3 linked regions of the Xenopus tropicalis genome follow. The protein of the gene in region 1 purifies or fractionates together with the protein of each later gene. This does not show direct contact. Links are inferred from orthologs where the notes say so. Each region holds a gene or a part of one and is shown in the gene's direction. Other genes may lie near its edges.

The links. The genes of interacting proteins can lie anywhere in the genome.
Region 2: the proteins of serine/threonine-protein kinase Nek2 (region 1) and anapc4 purify together in Homo sapiens (affinity purification with mass spectrometry; 6 studies listed by BioGRID and IntAct, with this or other methods). This does not show direct contact. The link is inferred for Xenopus tropicalis from reciprocal best matches to the Homo sapiens genes NEK2 and ANAPC4.
Region 3: the proteins of serine/threonine-protein kinase Nek2 (region 1) and anapc7 purify together in Homo sapiens (affinity purification with mass spectrometry; 3 studies listed by BioGRID and IntAct, with this or other methods). This does not show direct contact. The link is inferred for Xenopus tropicalis from reciprocal best matches to the Homo sapiens genes NEK2 and ANAPC7.

The regions. Positions count from the first base shown.
Region 1 is NC_030681.2:14,883,143-14,889,117, forward strand, and holds part of serine/threonine-protein kinase Nek2, read left to right. Parts: coding exon 1-146; intron 147-931; coding exon 932-1,172; intron 1,173-2,201; coding exon 2,202-2,284; intron 2,285-2,402; coding exon 2,403-2,529; intron 2,530-3,992; coding exon 3,993-4,209; intron 4,210-4,299; coding exon 4,300-4,354; intron 4,355-4,588; coding exon 4,589-4,665; intron 4,666-5,975. UniProt on the Homo sapiens protein: Protein kinase which is involved in the control of centrosome separation and bipolar spindle formation in mitotic cells and chromatin condensation in meiotic cells.
Region 2 is NC_030677.2:31,789,450-31,795,877, reverse strand, and holds part of anapc4 (anaphase-promoting complex subunit 4), read left to right. Parts: intron 1-1,031; coding exon 1,032-1,164; intron 1,165-1,766; coding exon 1,767-1,841; intron 1,842-2,423; coding exon 2,424-2,450; intron 2,451-2,542; coding exon 2,543-2,587; intron 2,588-3,208; coding exon 3,209-3,293; intron 3,294-5,125; coding exon 5,126-5,230; intron 5,231-5,316; coding exon 5,317-5,400; intron 5,401-5,506; coding exon 5,507-5,593; intron 5,594-6,306; coding exon 6,307-6,371; intron 6,372-6,428. UniProt on the Homo sapiens protein: Component of the anaphase promoting complex/cyclosome (APC/C), a cell cycle-regulated E3 ubiquitin ligase that controls progression through mitosis and the G1 phase of the cell cycle.
Region 3 is NC_030677.2:162,758,928-162,765,355, reverse strand, and holds part of anapc7 (anaphase-promoting complex subunit 7), read left to right. Parts: intron 1-289; coding exon 290-443; intron 444-876; coding exon 877-1,019; intron 1,020-1,459; coding exon 1,460-1,577; intron 1,578-1,792; coding exon 1,793-1,989; intron 1,990-4,588; coding exon 4,589-4,813; intron 4,814-5,680; coding exon 5,681-5,831; intron 5,832-6,191; coding exon 6,192-6,381; 3' UTR 6,382-6,428. UniProt on the Homo sapiens protein: Component of the anaphase promoting complex/cyclosome (APC/C), a cell cycle-regulated E3 ubiquitin ligase that controls progression through mitosis and the G1 phase of the cell cycle.

The DNA.
Region 1 (5,975 bases):
AATCTGCTGCGAGAACTCAAGCACCCGAACATTGTGCGTTATTATGACCGCATCATTGATCGGACCAACACTACCCTCTACATAGTGATGGAGTACTGCGAAGGGGGTGACCTGGCCAGCCTCATTGCTAAATGCACTAAAGAAAGGTACCGGCATCTAACAAGAACACTCTCCAGTAATGATCTAGTACATGGGCTGACACATTGATGGGCATTGATGTTTCTGCCAGTATTTCTATGGAGACGGGGATTAAAAATCTTTTGTCCGCTGTTGCAAAACTCCCTGCAGTGTAAAGGCCTGACATGTTTGTGCATAACCCTTACAACGCAATGCTGCTATTCACTGGAGTGTATTATAGTTTTGGCACAGGGAGTCTGGCAACAGAAAGTTTATCCAGGTCAGGGGAAATTATAGGAAGGCAACAAGTAAAGCTGTTGCGCTTCTTAGTGTAAAACCAGCAATACAGCCATGTGTTAAGATTAAGAATTGTAAGCTCTGTGGGGCAGGAGTCTAATTTCTTGAGTCTTTCATACTTGGCTTTTAATCTTTGATATAACTACTTTTTTTGTATTGACACCTGTTTTATTCTATGAATATATTGTTCTACTATACAGTGTAGCGCTATATAAAGAGATACATATATACAGAAAGCCAAATTCACTGGGGTGGTGCCAATTTGTTAGGTGCCTCAACTGAACCTAATCATTAAGCTGGGACCCCAGGCCAGCACCCCTTTCTAACTAGCTATGTTCCATTTTGTCATTTCTCAACCATATGGTGGGCAGTACCCATTGCCTTGGTATTTTTTACAGAAGAGGAGCCCCAGCCCCAGGGTCTAAGGTTAGGGATTTGATTTATTAGGGGGGCTGCCTACAAGAGTGGCAAAGTAACACTTTTAGTTTAAAATCCTTTTTTTTTTTTTTTTTTTAAGGCAATATTTGGAAGAAGACTTTATCCTACGTATTTTTTCCCAACTGGCCCTGGCACTTAAAGATTGCCACAAAAGAAGCGATGGTGGTCACACTGTGCTCCACCGAGACCTGAAACCTGCCAACATCTTCCTAGATGCCAAAAACAATGTGAAGCTCGGAGACTTTGGGTTGGCCAGAATACTGCATCATGACTCCAGTTTCGCCAAGACGTTTGTTGGCACACCATACTACATGTCTCCAGTAAGTATCTGGCTGTGATATTGTGCAGTTTGAATACGCTAGTGACTTGTATTGGGTTAGTATTCTAGGCTTACGGAACTGGAGTCTTTTCTTAGAAATCTGGAACTGTTCTCTTCAACACTGTTTTCCCTGAGTGTTGCAAACGCTTGCTCACTTGTAGCGGCATGGCTAGTTTGTCCAGTTTCCTCACTGCCCTTGAGTCTTGATGGCTGTATTGAGACATTTTCTTCTGTCTGGAAAGTACGTAAAGTTTGTTTATATCCAGTGCTGAAATATGGAGGTGGCTAGGTGGACTCTTCCCTTGCAACTGTGCAGTGCTAGCTTAAGGCCATCTTGGAAATTGTATCTCCGACAAGGTGCCTATGGCATCAGCTCGGGGTACAAGGTAGGCGATTTAAGTCACTTGGGGGTGCCTAACATTTTGGCACCCCCAGTGACTTTGCCTTTCCTTCTCCTTTAACTTTTTCTTTTAAATGGGGGTGGTGACAAAGATTGGAAGTACAAATAAACAATAGTGTGAGGCACAGCAGGATCCAAGACATTAAAGAGTAGAATTTAACAGATAAGGTTACAATGTAGTATTTACCACAGAAGGCTGATAACAGAGAATTGCATACAATACAAGGCAAAACTCTGAATGCATAGGCAAACAAGGTCTTTATGAGGTATTATGCTTCAGTGACACCCTGATACATGTCTAACCAAGGGGCCCAAATTTTTTATCACACATTTCGCAGGGTGTGTGTGTGTGTGTGTAAGTTTCTTTATGGTAGAAAATGCTTTCATTCAGATGGCTACAATGTCACTGACATTACCTGGATATAGCAGGGACTGATGTAAATGGAATAACTGTGTAATATGTGCTCCATCTGCCCTAATGGTTTAAGGGGATGCTAAAAAACTAAAGCTGAAGATGCAACATTGAAGTTCATTGAGATGAATATATCTGCTACAAAGCAATACCTGAAAAATTAGAGAAACACTGCTGCCAATTTTACAACAGTGGCAATTTTCTGTTTTATGTTTCAGGAACAAATGAACAGAATGTCCTATAACGAGAAATCTGATATCTGGTCGTTAGGATGCCTCCTGTATGAACTCTGTGCTCTCTCGTAAGTAAAATACTGTTTTATTTCAGTGTTAAATCTATGTGCATCTAGCAAAAGATGAAATAAACCTAAAATTGCCAATTTGCAGCCTGTTCATTTGGGGAACCCTGTTTTATTTTAGGCCACCTTTTACGGCTTACAATCAAAAGGAACTGGCAGAAAAGATCAGAGAAGGAAGGTTTAGGCGCATTCCTTATCGCTATTCAGAAGAGCTTAATCAAGTCATAACAAACATGCTCCATCTAAAGGTAGGCATTCCCTTTGTAATGTCATGCATTAGTAATTGGCGCTAAACGAGGCAGTGATATAATTTGTGATTGTGTATAAACGCTTCATAAATGCTTAAGTGTCAGGTTTAAAGGAACAGTAACACCAAAAAGTGTTTTTAAAGTACTAAAAATACAATATACTATTGGCCCTGCACTGGTACAGCTGGGGTGTTTGCTACAGAAACCCTACTATAGTTTATATAAATACCCTGCTGTGTAGCCCCGGGGGCAGCCATTCCTGCACTGGTACAGCTGGGGTGTTTGCTACAGAAACCCTACTATAGTTTATATAAATACCTTGCTGTGTAGCCCCGGGGGCAGCCATTCCTGCACTGGTACAGCTGGGGTGTTTGCTACAGAAACCCTACTATAGTTTATATAAATACCCCACTGTGTAGCCCCGGGGGCAGCCGTTCCTGCACTGGTACAGCTGGGGTGTTTGCTACAGAAACCCTACTATAGTTTATATAAATACCCCGCTGTGTAGCCACGGGGGAAGCCATTCCTGCACTGGTACAGCTGGGGTGTTTGCTACAGAAACCCTACTATAGTTTATATAAATACCCCGCTGTGTAGCCCCGGGGGCAGCCATTTAAGGGCTCTGGTACACGGGGAGATTAGTCGCCCGCGGCAAAACTCCCTGTTCGCGGGCGACTAATCTCCCCGAGTTGCCTTCTCCTGCCATCCCACCGGCGACAATGTAAGTCGCCGGTGGGATGGCACACACGGCGGCGCAATTTCGCGCAAATCACTGAAAAAGCCTCGCAAGTCTTTTTCGGCGATGTCCCGAATTCGCGCCGCCGCGTGTGCCATCCCACCGGCGACTTACATTGTCGCCGGTGGGATGGCAGGTGAAGGCAACTCGGGGAGATTAGTCGCCCGCGAACAGGGAGTTTTGTCGCGGGCGACTAATCTCCCCGTGTGCCAGAGCCCTAAGCTTGAGAAAAGGCACAGTTTACGTAGCAGATAACCGATAATACCTCATTATATTCTACAGTGCTTATCTGATATCTACTAAGTAACCTGTGCCTTTTTTTTTTTTTTCTCTAGCTTGAATGGCTGTTTACTAAAGTTTAAAGAGATACTGAAACTTGAAATATAATAGATGTAAAACATGCAAAGACAGTGTTGCAATAATTTTTACATTATCTGATTCCCCATTTTCCCCTACTATACTATACTTTATGCAGCAGTAGGCCATAAGTATTAGAAATTCCGACCAGCTGAAAGGGGGACAGGTTGGCAAAATACTCAGGTTTAGGAACATCAAATAACAGTTACAAAAGCAGCCCTATCGGTATAGAACTATTGGCATGACCTATAGGGATCTTTTAATGGAGTAGGTTTTGTTTTTTCTTTTCTTTGTAGCTGCTACTAGTAGCTATGTGTGTCTTCACCCTAATGTTTACTCACATGCTTGTTCTGTTGTCCTTGTGTGTTAGGATTATTTAAGGCCTTCTATAGAGGAGATACTGCAGCATCACTTATTAGCAGAGTTGGTCAGGGAAGAGCAAAAGAAAACTGAAAAGAAAGTTTTGAGAGCTGCAGAGCAGGAAAGGCTATCGATGCCAGACCCTGTCCCCTCAGAACTCCGGTTAAAGGAACAGCAACTGCACACAAGAGAGCGAGCCTTAAGAGAAAGGGAAGAGCGCCTAGAGCGTAAGTGTAAAAATGTGTTTTATGTTAAGAATATTTGCACATACGACTCTATTTGGCAGCACTAACCATAAAATGTATCTAATTCTCTAGAAAGAGAACGAGAGCTGTGTGTGCGTGAAAGGATGGCAGAAGATAAACTTGCCAGGTAAGCTGTATTCTAAGCTCTTAGCTCAGTGGTACAGGTACATACTCCTCTTAGATTAGTTCTGTCCACTTATTACAAGTAGTAGTGCCATTATTACTTATGTAGCATGTTCAAGACCTGGATTTTTATTTTTATATATATATTGGCTAGTGCATATTCCCAATATCTGTAAATTAATCAGGAACTATACTTACCTGTATGTATTTGACACATTTTCTTATACTTTATCGACAGGGCTGAAACCTTGGTGAAGAGCTTTAACTTGATGAAGGAACAGCACCTGTTTCAAGCTGCTCTAGAGAATGGCAAAGGTATGAGAGCCAACAGAAAGCCTTTGGAGCCTCGGAATGAATGGAGCAAATTCTGATACATTCTATGTTTTAGTGTTTGGGTTATTCCCTGCATGTTGGCTAAGCTCCTGTAAGAGTATATGCAGGGCTCCTCAAGTTGCAATGATGCACTTTATTTGTTGTCTTTGTCTCCCTTTTTTTTTTTTTTTTTTTAAATGTGAAATAAATTTATTTGGCTGGGTTTTTATTTGCCCTATATTTAGGGTACTGGGAGCCTCTCTTTCTCTCCTGCTGGTAAGGCTGCTCCCACCTGTATAGAATTCTTTCTCACTATGTCTATTTGCTTTCCTTGTCCTAGTGTGGTCTTCCTTTATCCTGTGCCTATGACTGCTAGAACTTTAAAATGGCCCCTATGGCCTGCTATCCGAGAGGCATCAACATCCCAATATATTAGATATTATGTAATGTTCAAATAATAAGAGTTTTTAAAGTCACTCTAAAAGACTGGGCTTTGGAGAAGGAGTGTTGATGCACAGGTCCCTATAACAAACGTAAAAACTTGTCCTACATGTTCTACAGTTTGGCTTTGTTAATATTTTGTGTTGAAAACTGCTTCCTGGCCCACATCGGTTTTCCTAATTCTGTTATGGGATTCTAGTTATTTGAATAGAAAAAAAAAATAAAACTTTAAGTACAGCAGGAGCAAAAATGCTATTTTATTGTTAAATCCTAGTTTAGTTTTGTGTCCTGCCTCTTATTTTTATCTTTACTTGTTTTAATAACAATAATATGCAGGTATTAAACCTGTTATCTGGAAACCCTGTGTCCGGAATGTGCCAAATTTCCATTTTCTCAAATGTAATAAAACAGTACTCATGCTTAATCCCAGCTAAGATCTAATTCATCTTTATTGGAGGCAAAACAGTCCTAATGGGTTTAAATGATTTGTTTTTTAATAGACTTAAGGCATGGTGATTCATATAACAGAAAGACCCCTTCTCTTGGAAAATATAGATAAAAAAAAAATACCTAAAAGAGTATACTATATGATGCTGCTGGGACACATTACTGTGCTATAAACATACATCATAAAGTAAATAGACTTTTCCAACCCAAACTTGTTAAACATCACTTTGTCTTAGCAAAATTGCTTTCTAGGTATTCTGGCTGCTTACTATAACAGACATTTTTGTTATAAATAAGGGCACTGTTACAGTTGTGCTAGTATTCTCTAGGTCTCCATCCATACCAACACGCTTGGTCATTTACCTAGTTGCTCCACTGCTACCAAAGACTTAACACAGCCTCTACCTACATCTATAGGTGCATAG
Region 2 (6,428 bases), on another chromosome or scaffold:
GCTGACATGGTTTGTAAAATATAGGGCTTGTACTAAACTCGGCAGAAATGCAAAGGGGATGAAAGTCCAAAGTTTATGTGGGCCCCTAAAATGATTTTACTGTGGGATTCTGTAGGTCAGTATGCCATTGTATGCAGCTGTGCTTAGTCATGTTCCTTTGCTGTTACATCACCTGTATCCACATAGTTATATCCACATCGCCCCCATAATGACCACATCTTTGCCATTAAAGTTGCTGAAATAAAAATGTCATTGTTTCCTTTGGCTAATAATTCTGTTTATTCTAAAATACTATATTGGGAAGTAGAAGTCCGGGCACCCTGACTTGTTTTGGCGATTCCAGCGGACAGTCAAGCCTGTGCTTTGTAGGTCTTGCTACATGGTTTTTTATGGGCTTGTTCAAATATTTACTGGAGTTGTATGCCAACGTTATGCATATAGTGTTCTAGCTTTGAGAAATTCCATTACAAAATTGTTTGCTAGGTTTAACAGTTTGCACCTTGTGTCGTAGGCAGTTGGCAAGTATAGGGCTCCCAATATTGTTGGAGCCAGTGGCACCATTTGCACCTGTAGCATGGGTAAGGGGTGTGCACATAGATGTCCATGGGCCGCATATGTGCTCCTCATACATTGGTGCCATTCACTATACAATGCAAATCTTTGAACTGATTGGCACCTATATTTGGACCTTTGCTCCTTACCTTTGTTTAAAGGTGAAGGATGCCTAGAAATCAATTGGGGGTTCTAAGTTCTTAGGAACCCGCTGATGGGACTCTTGTTGGTTACCTAAAATCACTAGCATGGGGTATGCCGAACGCCACGCATCTATCTTTTTATTGCCTCCCTGTTATCTGCCCTTGATGAGAGCCTGTGCAAATATTTTTTCATTTCTGTAATGTGAAAATGTGCTCCTAGAATCTGCACAAACACACTGGTGATTTTATGTCCTATAGAAAATGAGCCCTTTTAACTTTCACATTTTCTAATTCAGCAGAGCACTTGTTTAACACAATTTTCCCTTTTCTTGGCAGTACTGGCATTTGGTCTTGCTGATACAAAGAAAGTTGTTTTGTGTGATGTAGAGAAACCTGAAAGTCTCCATTCCTTCTCACTGGAAACACCAATATCATGTATGCAGTGGATGGAAGTAAAGGTGGAAAACAGGCAAGTCCTGAAATTGGGCACTGTATGCAAATCATGCTGCATAGTTAACCAATCCGAAAAAGGAAAGTTCACTGAAATATTAACTTTTAGGATTTATTGACAGAAGAAATACAAGAAATTTTGTATCTGATCTTAAGTTTCAAATTATTTGCCTCCCTGTTGCTCTCCAAACTCCCAGCGATCATTGCATCCAGAAATCAGATTGTGAGGAAGATTTGTTTGTGTGCGTTTTTGTTAGTCTTTTCCGTAGCAACCAAATAACATTTTAAATGCCTAACTAAAGAGGTGCTGGACAAATAAAAAGTGAAATAAAAAAAATGTCAATAGTTTTAATTGCATCATTATAGGATGTGTATACCCCCTTGTAAAACATTAGTTCAGTTTGTGCAGAACGTACTTTTTGCCCCATTGTTTTAATCATAGAAAAATCTGACTCAAATATTGTTGCTCAGCGGTGTACCACAATTTCAGAACACTCACTGACATTTTTTTTCATGGTTTAAATCTTATGTTATTTATTTGTTTTTCAGATGAGACTATAGGGCTGGAGCGTGTATTTGTATACGGGGTGCCCCTAATGCTATTTTCTCTTTTTCATTCAGTGTATTGACTTCGTTTTACAATGCTGAAGATGAATCTAATGTTCTGCTGCCCAAATTACCTGCACTGCCCAAAAAGTAATTATTTGCTAAGCATATTATTACGGTTACAGTATGTTCTTAACTCTTACATGAATGCTTTTTTTTCTGTTTCTAACTCATGTGTTTTGATTCAATGATTTAAATGGACTCAAACCTCACTGTCAATGTCTGGTTTACAAACAGATGCTCCATTTCTTAATTAATTACTCCCTAACATATTATTGGCATTAAAAATGCCAATTGGCTTCTTGGGTCAGTGACCCTGGCCACCCAAAAATGTATATCTTGATGATTTAGGCCTTCTAATATTCATGGTCTTGTGTGTCCGCTGGCTTGATTCTTGGGTCAGTATCCCCTGCAACTAATTAGCAGTTTAACTCTTTAAATGCTAGCCAGTTTGTCCCGCAAGAAGGTTTGCAAGTCGACAGGCAACTCACAGTGACATATAGAAGAAGCTGTAACATGTTTAACAAAAAAACACAAGGATCACTGTTCTTATCATGCTAACCTCTTTACAATTTGGGTAGATTAACACCCCTTTAAATATTGTGTCATCTTTGCAGCTAACAAACACCCCTAAATTGTTATACTACTAAAAATGATTTTCTCTTTCTTTAGTTATACTGCCACAGCAAAAATCTTCAGGTAAGTTGTTCTCTTATATTTTTACCTTTTTTATTGTTCACATAAACATTTCTTACAATTTATATGTATTTTATGTATATTTTATATTCCAGTGAAGAAAAGTCTGATGAAATATTAAAGCTATTAGGAGATGTGAGGTAAGAAAGGATACTGTTTGAGGCAAACGTGTATAATTTGCGCTGACAACAAAAAGTTGACACTTAATAGGGTAAAAAACTCCCTCTTATATTGTTGCTGTTATGTAACTAGGTAATATTATCCTTATATATGGCTGGAATACACAAGAGTCATGAATAACCTTTTAAAATAATTTAAATTGATTTCACTTCACTTGTCACATGACTCATTGTAACTTGTGTCTTATAAAGAGAAAAAATGATATACTACTGCGGAAAAATGTATAAAGCCACTTTGAAGTTCCATTGCCAAATTAAAATCCTTCAACTTTGAGCCTTTATATAGTGACTACATCCTTATAATACACAAGAGCCATGAATATCCTGTAAATTATACCATTGTGTATACCAGTGTTTAGTGACAATATCAGTCATAATGGGTGCTTAGTGATGTCATTTGACTCACTGAAACTTATGTATTATAATAATGTATCCTGCTTGTAACATATGAGGATATTAGACATCACTCTGCCTTTGGCCTTCTGCTTTTATATGGTCATGAAACGCATCAGTGACTTATAATAACTTTATATTTTATAGTCACTTATTATTACTAACATTTGCACACTTCTGCTCCTTCAGACTTAATGCTTTGGTTCTTGGAGGAGACTCAGGACAAATTGAAATATATGCCTATGGAATGTACAAAATTGCAACAATTTCAGAGGTAATAAATATAAATTACTTAAACGCACCAATCACATTATAGAGTGGTATGAAACTGGTATTTAGGTTAATAAGTTCCTACCTCTAAGGGTAAGAACCCACAGATCGGTTCAGTCGCCCGCCCATAGATCTCTGCTATGGCAGCAACAATTGGAGTCACCGGGGAAAAGCCCTTCGCATCCCTTAATTTTCTCGAAGTTGCCTGCAGGAGGAAACTTTACACGGCTTTGGATTACCGCAGCGATGTGAAGGGCTTTCCATCGGTGACTTCTATTGTTGCTGGTGGAAAGCCTTTTCAGAACAGTTTGTCGCATGCTGCTATAGCAGAGATCTATTGCGGGCGACGAAACCACTCCGTGGGTTCTTACCCCAAATCTTAGTTGTATATAGATTTGCCATCTCATGTTTATGTAGTGAGGTAAAAAACAATACCAAAAATACCAAAAAAGTCCTCAGCGCTAGCAAATAATAAAGTGTCCAGTCTTTACTTGAATCGTGTAACAAAATTAGATGTGTAAAAGTTTTCTTTACTGCAGCTCCGTCTTAAAACAACCCCTTTGACTGGGTTCCGAAGTAAACTCAACGAAATAAACAGATCCGGAGCGCATAGAATGGGGGAAAAAAGAAAAACAATAATAGTGTAGTAACGTTTAAATATTGTGACAGTATTAAACCCCGTTTAAAGTTCCCAGTGTTCAATAAATTAATATTAACACCAAGTGTGGTACTGCTAACTGCTCACCAGATGGCAGTGTTGTTGAAGTAAAATAAACGTCATGTGTTCATTGCAGACTTGTAGCTGTTTGAACGGATATTGTATCCCTGGGATGTGTCTCAATTGTATCGATGTATCCTCCACGTCTGATTATCCTTATGTGCACTGTGGCTATATCCTCATTGAGGCATACAAAAAGGAAAAAACCGCCACTAGTGCAATATGATTTATTATAAAACAATATATAAAGAATAAAACTTACAGTATGTAGTCAGATATAGGAACTCAATAGCCCGAAAAGCCCAACGCGTTTCGTGCACTGCTCGGTGCACTTCCTCAGGAGCAAGAATCAAGTCAAGTCAAGTCAAGACTTGATTCTTGCTCCTGAGGAAGTGCACCGAGCAGTGCACGAAACGCGTTGGGCTTTTCGGGCTATTGAGTTCCTATATCTGACTACATACTGTAAGTTTTATTCTTTATATATTGTTTTATAATAAATCATATTGCACTAGTGGCGGTTTTTTCCTTTTTGTATGCCTCAATGAGGATATAGCCACAGTGCACATAAGGATAATCAGACGTGGAGGATACATCGATACAATTGAGACACATCCCAGGGATACAATATCCGTTCAAACAGCTACAAGTCTGCAATGAACACATGACGTTTATTTTACTTCAACAACACTGCCATCTGGTGAGCAGTTAGCAGTACCACACTTGGTGTTAATATTAATTTATTGAACACTGGGAACTTTAAACGGGGTTTAATACTGTCACAATATTTAAACGTTACTACACTATTATTGTTTTTCTTTTTTCCCCCATTCTATGCGCTCCGGATCTGTTTATTTCGTTGAGTCATCTCATGTTTATGCATGTACTTTTAGCCAACATACTAATCAAGCCACATTTGGTTATAAAAGATTTCAGGGACAACTATGGGGCATGGACATTCTCTGTCAATTCTACTGCCCTTCTAGCCCTATACATTACGTAATTTCTAGCCTACTTCATATGTTACTTTAGTTGCATGTTAAGCAGAATCCTACATTCATATTCATTGAGGTATAACTAGAATTATGTTACATAATACAAAATATCTGCTTTTTCTACAGGTCTATGGATCTTGCCTGGGACTTTGCCTGTCTAATGATCTCAAGTCTCTCTCTGTTGTCACTGAACTGACAACAAATAGTATGCCTGAAATTACCTATTTTCAGGTCTGTGTCTACCTGGTTATGTGTAAACCAATAGTTTTTTTTGAGACCCTGATTTTTATGTCCAGCCTTGTTGTTTGTTTCTATAGCTGGACACCAGTTTGTTATCAGATTGCTTACCTGAAGTGACTCGGATGGCCAGAAAATTTACCCACATCTCAACACTCCTTCAGGTAAAATGGGTATCAGATTTGTTGAGATCTTACAGTTCTCACTTTTTTCACCGGTTCATAGCACATTCCCTCTGTCGCATTGTAATTTTCCTCTGTTGTTTTCCAGTATTTGCAGTTGTCTCTGACATGTATGTGTGAAGCTTGGGAAGAAATACTGATGCAGATGGATTCACGATTAACAAAGTTTGTACAGGTGGGTATAGGAAGATTCTTAGAAATCAAAATCTCAAATCTCAAATTTGTTTATCAGTTCTGATTGAGTACATAACTGTGTAGGTATAACCTGGTAAGGTACAGGGAGACTAGTAAAATGCAGGTGTCTATTCAAAAAGCCAGAGGCATGTTCAGCTGTAAACTTGGCAGCTGAAGATGGTAAGTTTTTGGAAGCTCAATTTAAAGGGCACAATAAAATGTTTTTTGTTTTATTTGTCTTAATTTGGATCCATGTAAGTGCTTTTTGAGCTGAAGATCAGGAAGTGTGCTGAAACTTCCTTTTGCACTCCTGTTCTGTCCAAAAAAAGTTGATCCCAGTTCTGATTGAAATATAAAGAGGTGAGTGCATAGATATTTTACACTTGCTCTGTTTTTCTCAATAAGTAGGCTACTGGCCATGCATACATCTCCATAGTCTTTGTTTTCCTCCCATAGCCCTCTTATTTTGTCTGCTGGGCCATTTTTTACAAAAGTGTTGAACCCCTGGCCACTCAAACGAGTGTCAGTCCTGTTAAATTCATGACAAACACCTGCTAGTGAATTATTTTTGCAAATATGGTTGATTTACCTAGCTGTAGGTATAGTACTATGCAGATAAACAACCATGAAGGAAAGTATAAAGTCAATTTCCACAGCAAACAGATGATATGCGTAACAACAATCCCAGTGAGTTGCTTCTTTCTGTTGTTTCAGGAAAAAAACACAACTACGTCTGTGCAGGATGAATTCATGCAGTTACTCCTGTGGGGCAAAGCAAGGTATCTGTTTTAATTTCTCATTTTCCTTGAAAGACTGTCAATATGCATTATTAGTTT
Region 3 (6,428 bases), on another chromosome or scaffold:
TGTTATCATATCTTACTGCATTACCCACCATCCCTTCCAAAAGAATATTGCCCAGGCTGCTACAAATATTATTGCATCATAGGTATAGTAAGGCAAGAGCTTAGCATTGGGCTGATTTCCTACAGACAATTTCTAATTAGCCCCACTGATACAGGCATCTTGTCTCCTTTTTCTATACCTGCTATTTCATAGTTATTAAACTCACTATCAATGCAGGCTCTGCTACACTGCACTGTGTAGCAGCCAGTGTTTATTGATGTTCATTAAGGGCCCTTTATTTTCATTTCAGGTTTGCTGTCCCTTTCTGTAAAAGGAGCAGAAGTTGCATCTATGACTCTCAATGTCATCCAGAGTATTCCCAACCTAGACTGGCTTTCTGCCTGGATCAAAGCCTATGCATTTGTGCACACTGGAGACAACACCAGAGCTATCAATACTATCTGGTAATTGTTTAACTTGAAAAAAGCAGAATACAGAGTACAGACACAACTAGCAATATCCAAAATGGAGTGAAGAGGGGTGTAGTAACAGGAGAACCAAATAAAAAGTACTGTGTTTTGGGAGTTAGGCACCCTTCATCTGCCTGTCTGTCATCTATCTATCTATTTATCATTAGCTATCTTATTTTTTTTTTTTTAACAATGAGTTTTTCTTGAGAATATTTGAACAGTACATAACTATGTTTCTTTAATAGCAAAGTTGTACGATTTGACATTTGATTACCAATGCAATGCAAATATCTATCATCTATCTATCTATCTATCTATCTATCATCACTAACCTAATATATCTTATAAATATATATATATCTTTGCTTATAATCAATATTTTTCATTCATATGATAAATTAGGTTTCTGATATGTTTGTTGTTTTAGTTCTCTAGAAAAGAAATCTTTGCTAAGGGACAATGTAGATCTTCTGGGGACCTTGGCAGATTTGTATTTCCGTGTTGGTGACAATAAAAATGCCATTCTTAAGTTTGAGCAAGCCCAGATGCTGGATCCTTATCTCATAAAAGGTTTGTTTTTACAATGTGTGTGTGTGTTATCCTGACATAAAATTGACATTTATTATACATACTTAATTCTGGTAAATTTGGGATAAAATTAGGAATACTAGCAAACAGGAAGCTGATTGGCAACACTCAGTGACAGCTAACAACTGCACTGAAGATCCATTCTACAAGTGGGTAGAGGACATCTTTATTAATTAAGACAATGGACAAGGTGACTAATAAAGAAGGTTTAGGGTAATGCTGCATGGGAATATCTTTGTTGCCTGCAATGATGCATAGCAATGCAGTTATTAAGGGAACAAAACCATTCCAGTCCTTCCCCAAGCAACAACTTCCTGACAAGTAGTTACGGGCGATGTAATTGTTGACTGCCAGGTAGTAGCTCCAGAGGGACAAATCAGAGGCACAAACCTTTGCATCTAATATCATTTTACCCCTCCAAGGAATGGATATATATGGGTACTTGCTGGCCCGTGAAGGTCGACTGGAAGATGTGGAAAATCTTGGCTGCCGCTTGTTCAATATATCTGATCAGCATGCTGAGCCATGGGTGGTTTCTGGGTAAGTGTTATTTGTACACTGCTGCCAAAAAGTGGCTTGCGTGACTGATGTAGCTGACTCTCTGTAAAAAATTCTTTAGTATATTGTCACTATTTAGTATCTAGTAGCATGTAGTAGTGGTAAGCCTTAAACATCATGACTTTCTAAGTAATCTCTCTAAGTTGCTTTGGATTTACCACTACTACTAAGATATAAATCTGATTTATTCCTTCTAGGTGCCACAGCTTTTATACTAAGAGACACTCCAGAGCCCTGTATTTAGGTGCCAAGGCTATCCAGCTGAACAGCAATAGTGTTCAAGCCTTACTATTAAAGGGGGCAGCATTAAGAAACATGGGAAGGGTGCAGGAAGCAATAATTCATTTCCGAGAAGCAATTCGATTAGCACCTTGTCGGCTTGACTGCTGTGAAGGTGAGTAAGAAAATGGGTGGATCTCAGTTATTTGTTATTTATTAAAATAAATGCTTGTATTTGGTTGCTGGCAGGTGAGTTGGGATGTTAAATATACAGATCTATTAAACAATATAGAAGTGTTGCAGAAATGATATACAGTGGATATAAAAAGTCTACACACCCCTGGTAAAATGTCAGGTTCCTGTGCTGTACAAAAATGAGACAAAGATAAATAATTTCAGAACTTTTTCCACCTTTAATGTGACCTATAAACTGTACCACTCGATTGAAAAACAAACTGAAATCTTTTAGGTGGAGGGAAGAAAACCAAAAAAACTAAAATAATGTGGTTGCATAAGTGTGCACACCCTTAAACCAATACTTTGTTGAAGCCCCTTTTGATTTTATTACAGCACTCAGTCTTTTTGGGTATGAGTCTATCAGCATGGCACATTTTGACTTTGCAAGATTTGCCCACTCTTCTTTGCAGAAACGCTCCAAATCTGTCAGATTGCAAGGGCATCTCCTGTGCACAGCCCTCTTCAGATCAACCCACAGATTTTCAATCGGATTCAGGTCTGGGCTCTGGCTGGCCATTCCAAAACTTTAACCTTCTTCCGGTGAAGCCATTCCTTTGTTGATTTGGATGTATGCTTTGGGTCGTTGTCATGCTGAAAGATGTAGTTCCTTCTCATGTTCAGCTTTCTAGCAGAAGCCTGAAGGTTTTGTGCCAATATTGACTGGTATTTGGAACTGTTCATAATTCCCTCTATCTTAACTAAGGCCCCAGTTCCAGCTGAAGAAAAACAGCCCCAAAGCATTATGCTGCCACCACCATGCTTCACTGTGGGTATGGTGTTCTTTTGGTGATGTGCAGTATTGTTTTTGCGCCAAACATATTTTTTGGAATTATGGCCAAAAAGTTCAACCTTGGTTTCATCAGACCATAACACCTTTTCCCACATGCTTTTGGGAGACTTCAGATGTGTTTTTGCAAAATGTAGCCTGGCTTGGATGTTTTTCTTCGTAAGAAAAGGCTTTTGTCTTGCCACTCTACCCTATAGCCCAGACATATGAAGAATACGGGAGATTGTTGTCACATGTACCACACAGCCAGTACTTGCCAGATATTCCTGCAGCTCCTTTAATGTTGCTGTAGGCCTCTTGGTAGTCTCCCTGACCAGTTTTCTTCTCGTCTTTTCATCAATTTTGGAGGGACGTCCAGTTCTTGGGTAATGTCACTGTTGTGCCATATTTTCTCCACTTGATGAACACAGTCTTCACTGTGTTCCATGGTATATCTAATGCCTTGGAACAAATGTTTGTACCCTTCTCCTGACTGATATATTTTAACATTGAGATCCCTCTGATGATTTGGAAGCTGTGGGATGTGACCAAAAAAATGCCAGGAAAGACCAACTAGAGCAGCTGAACTTTATTTGTGGTTAATCAGAGGCACTTTAAATGATGGCAGGTGTATGCTGAATCCTATTTAACATGATTTTGAATGTGATTGCTTAATTCTGAAGACAGCTACATCCCCAGTTAGAAGAGGGTGTGCACACTTATGCAACCACATTATTTTAGTTTTTTTGTTTTTCTTCCCTCCATCTAAAAGATTTCAGTTTGTTTTTGAATTGAGTGGTAAAAGTTCTGAAATGATTTATCTTTGTCTCATTTTTGTACAGCACAGGAACCTGACATTTTACCAGGGGTGTGTAGACTTTTTATATCCACTGTATGCATATATACTAATCTCTGTTAAAGGTAAAAGGGCGTACAGAGCAAAAAGATGACTTAGCTTAATCACTCTTATCTCTACCCTGCAGTTTTAGCAGCTAACAGCTCATGATATAAATGCTGTCCGCAAGGAAATCTTTGGGTGTGCTAGTTTTGACCAATGGCATTCTTTGGGTGGGTTACTTTAAACGTATAGGCTTCGTATTAGTATTTTTGTGCATCTCATGTCATTTGCAAACATGTAAAAAAGTAGCCTATAAAAGCAGTGAGTTGCAAAGCCACATTTGAAGCCTTCTGTGATACATGTCATTCTGTGTGGTTGCATGCTTTCCAAGACTCTGTATTTTTGACTTATAATAAAGCAGCCATTTCTGCACAATACCTTATTATTTAAAGTTTCGATAAGTAAAATTACCAAAATGGCTTTACCATTTTGAAAGCGTAATATTTTTTTATTTGGATTTTTAAAATCAAGAAATTGCATATTACTGATGTAATATTTGTTGGGGAAGCTTAGGTTTGCTGAAAACAATACATCTGAGCAAGACTTATAATTATGATTTTATTGCAAAATGAGGAAGTATTACCAAAAAACCCTTTTAATATATGCATTCAATGTGCATTGGTGGATTTCTTGCATTTGTATAGTTCTCTTATTGCAATCCAGGCTAGTAAATCCTCTGCTTAGGTAAAAATCAAGTAACATTAATTGACTGTAATAAAAAATACCCAGATGACAAATGTTATGTTAAATAAAACCAAACTTGATTTCATCATTCAGGTTTTGCATTTCTCTTTTATATACAAATTTTGTATTTTGTTAGTATAATGTCCCTTTAAATGTTCTATTTCTGAGCAGCTGATCTTATCTTCCCAGGTCTCATTGAATGCTATTTGGCATCCAGCAGTGTGCGGGAAGCCATGGTGATGGCCAACAATGTCTACAAAACCCTTGGAGCCAACGCACAAACTCTAACTCTGCTGGCAACTGTGTGCCTGGAAGATCCTGTTACCCAAGAGAAAGCAAAAACATTGTTAGACAAAGCGCTCATTCAGAGACCGGATTATATAAAGGCTGTTGTGAAGAAAGCGGAGTTACTAAGTAAGTTCTTTAATGATGTAGTTAGGTGATATTTAGAATATCTTAATATGTGTGCTACTGGCCACAAAAAGACTCATTTACCTATGATGCAGCATTTTCCCCCAGAATTCTGTTGTCAAACCAGACATTGTGCCACAAATTGTGCATGATTTACTAGTGTAGATGCAAATTAATGGCATTAGGGCATGATTTACTAAACACAAGTTATTTGCATGTTTAGCTGAACTCCGGAAACCCTGGAAATAGCATCTTTAATGCAGGTGCTAATTTCAGGGCTCATGTGCAAGTGTAAGGCAAGTGTAAGGGATAGCTTTTAAGTGCTTTTTAAAGGAGAACTAAAGCATAACTAATGAAGTAGGCTAGAAACGTTGTGCATTAGGTTTTGGGCTTCTGTACCAGCCGAAGGCCCTTTAGCAGGGAAGATCTGAGCCTCCAAAGATGCCACAGTAGCCCCCCATCTTCTTTTCTGCTGATTCACTGCACATGCTCTGTGCTGCTGTCACTTACTGAGCTTAGGGACCGACGCACAATATACTGTCTATATAGAATATAAATGTCACAATACAGGCTGATTAGTAATTTATTCAGTTTCACATTACATGGCAGCTTAGTAACCAGTGCAATTTGCATCAGAATTTAATAATCAGCCCTTTAGCATCATCTTGTATGACAGGCCAGCCTCATTTTCTGCAGTAAGTTCAGTATATAAATTATGGCATTTCTAGCCAAATTAATTTTTAGGGTATGGTTGTTTAAGTGCAGTGTGTATGTAGCATGTTAAATGTGCTTAGTGTGAATGTATGGAGCATGTTAAATGTGCTGAAATGGTGATATTAAATCATGCATTAAATGTTGATTACTTCTCAGGTCGAGAGCAGAAGTATGAAGAGGGAATTGCCCTGCTGCGTAATACCCTTGCAAACCAGAGTGACTGCGTACTACATCGGATGCTAGGAGATTTTCTGGTGGCAGTTAATGAGTTTCAGGAAGCTATGGATCAGTACAGCATCGCCCTCAGGTAAATCTTTACAACCAAGCCCCCTCTTAATAAAATATTGTTATCAGATGCAGTATATATTGTGAAAGTACATTCTTGAAAAAGTGTTCAGACAGTCAGCAGTTAGCTTTGGCCCCTCTCGTGCATTTAGAATAATGAATGCACAAATTGGATTGGTTGCTACAGGTTTTTCTGATGTGAAGCCCATTGTTACATATGGTCAAGGATGCAAGTGTCTTCTTGCTTCTCCTATTTAGTGTTTCATTATTGTAACAACAAATTGCTCAGGTACGTGTTGCAATGAAATACTAAACAAGGGGGCAACCTATGTTCATCATCTAAAACAAGGTAAAACCATACAATTTGTTTTTTGGTCCTTAGTTTGGATCCAAATGACCAAAAATCCTTGGAGGGAATGCAGAAAATGGAGAAGGAAGAGAGCCCTACTGACGCCACTCAAGAAGAAGATGTTGATGACATGGAGGGGAGTGGAGAAGAGGGAGATCTAGAGGGCAGTGACAGTGAAGCTGCTCAGTGGGCAGATCAGGAGCCGTGGTTTGCAATGCAGTGAAGTTGGACTTAACCTTTTAAGTTGTTTCATGAATTCCTGTGCAGATT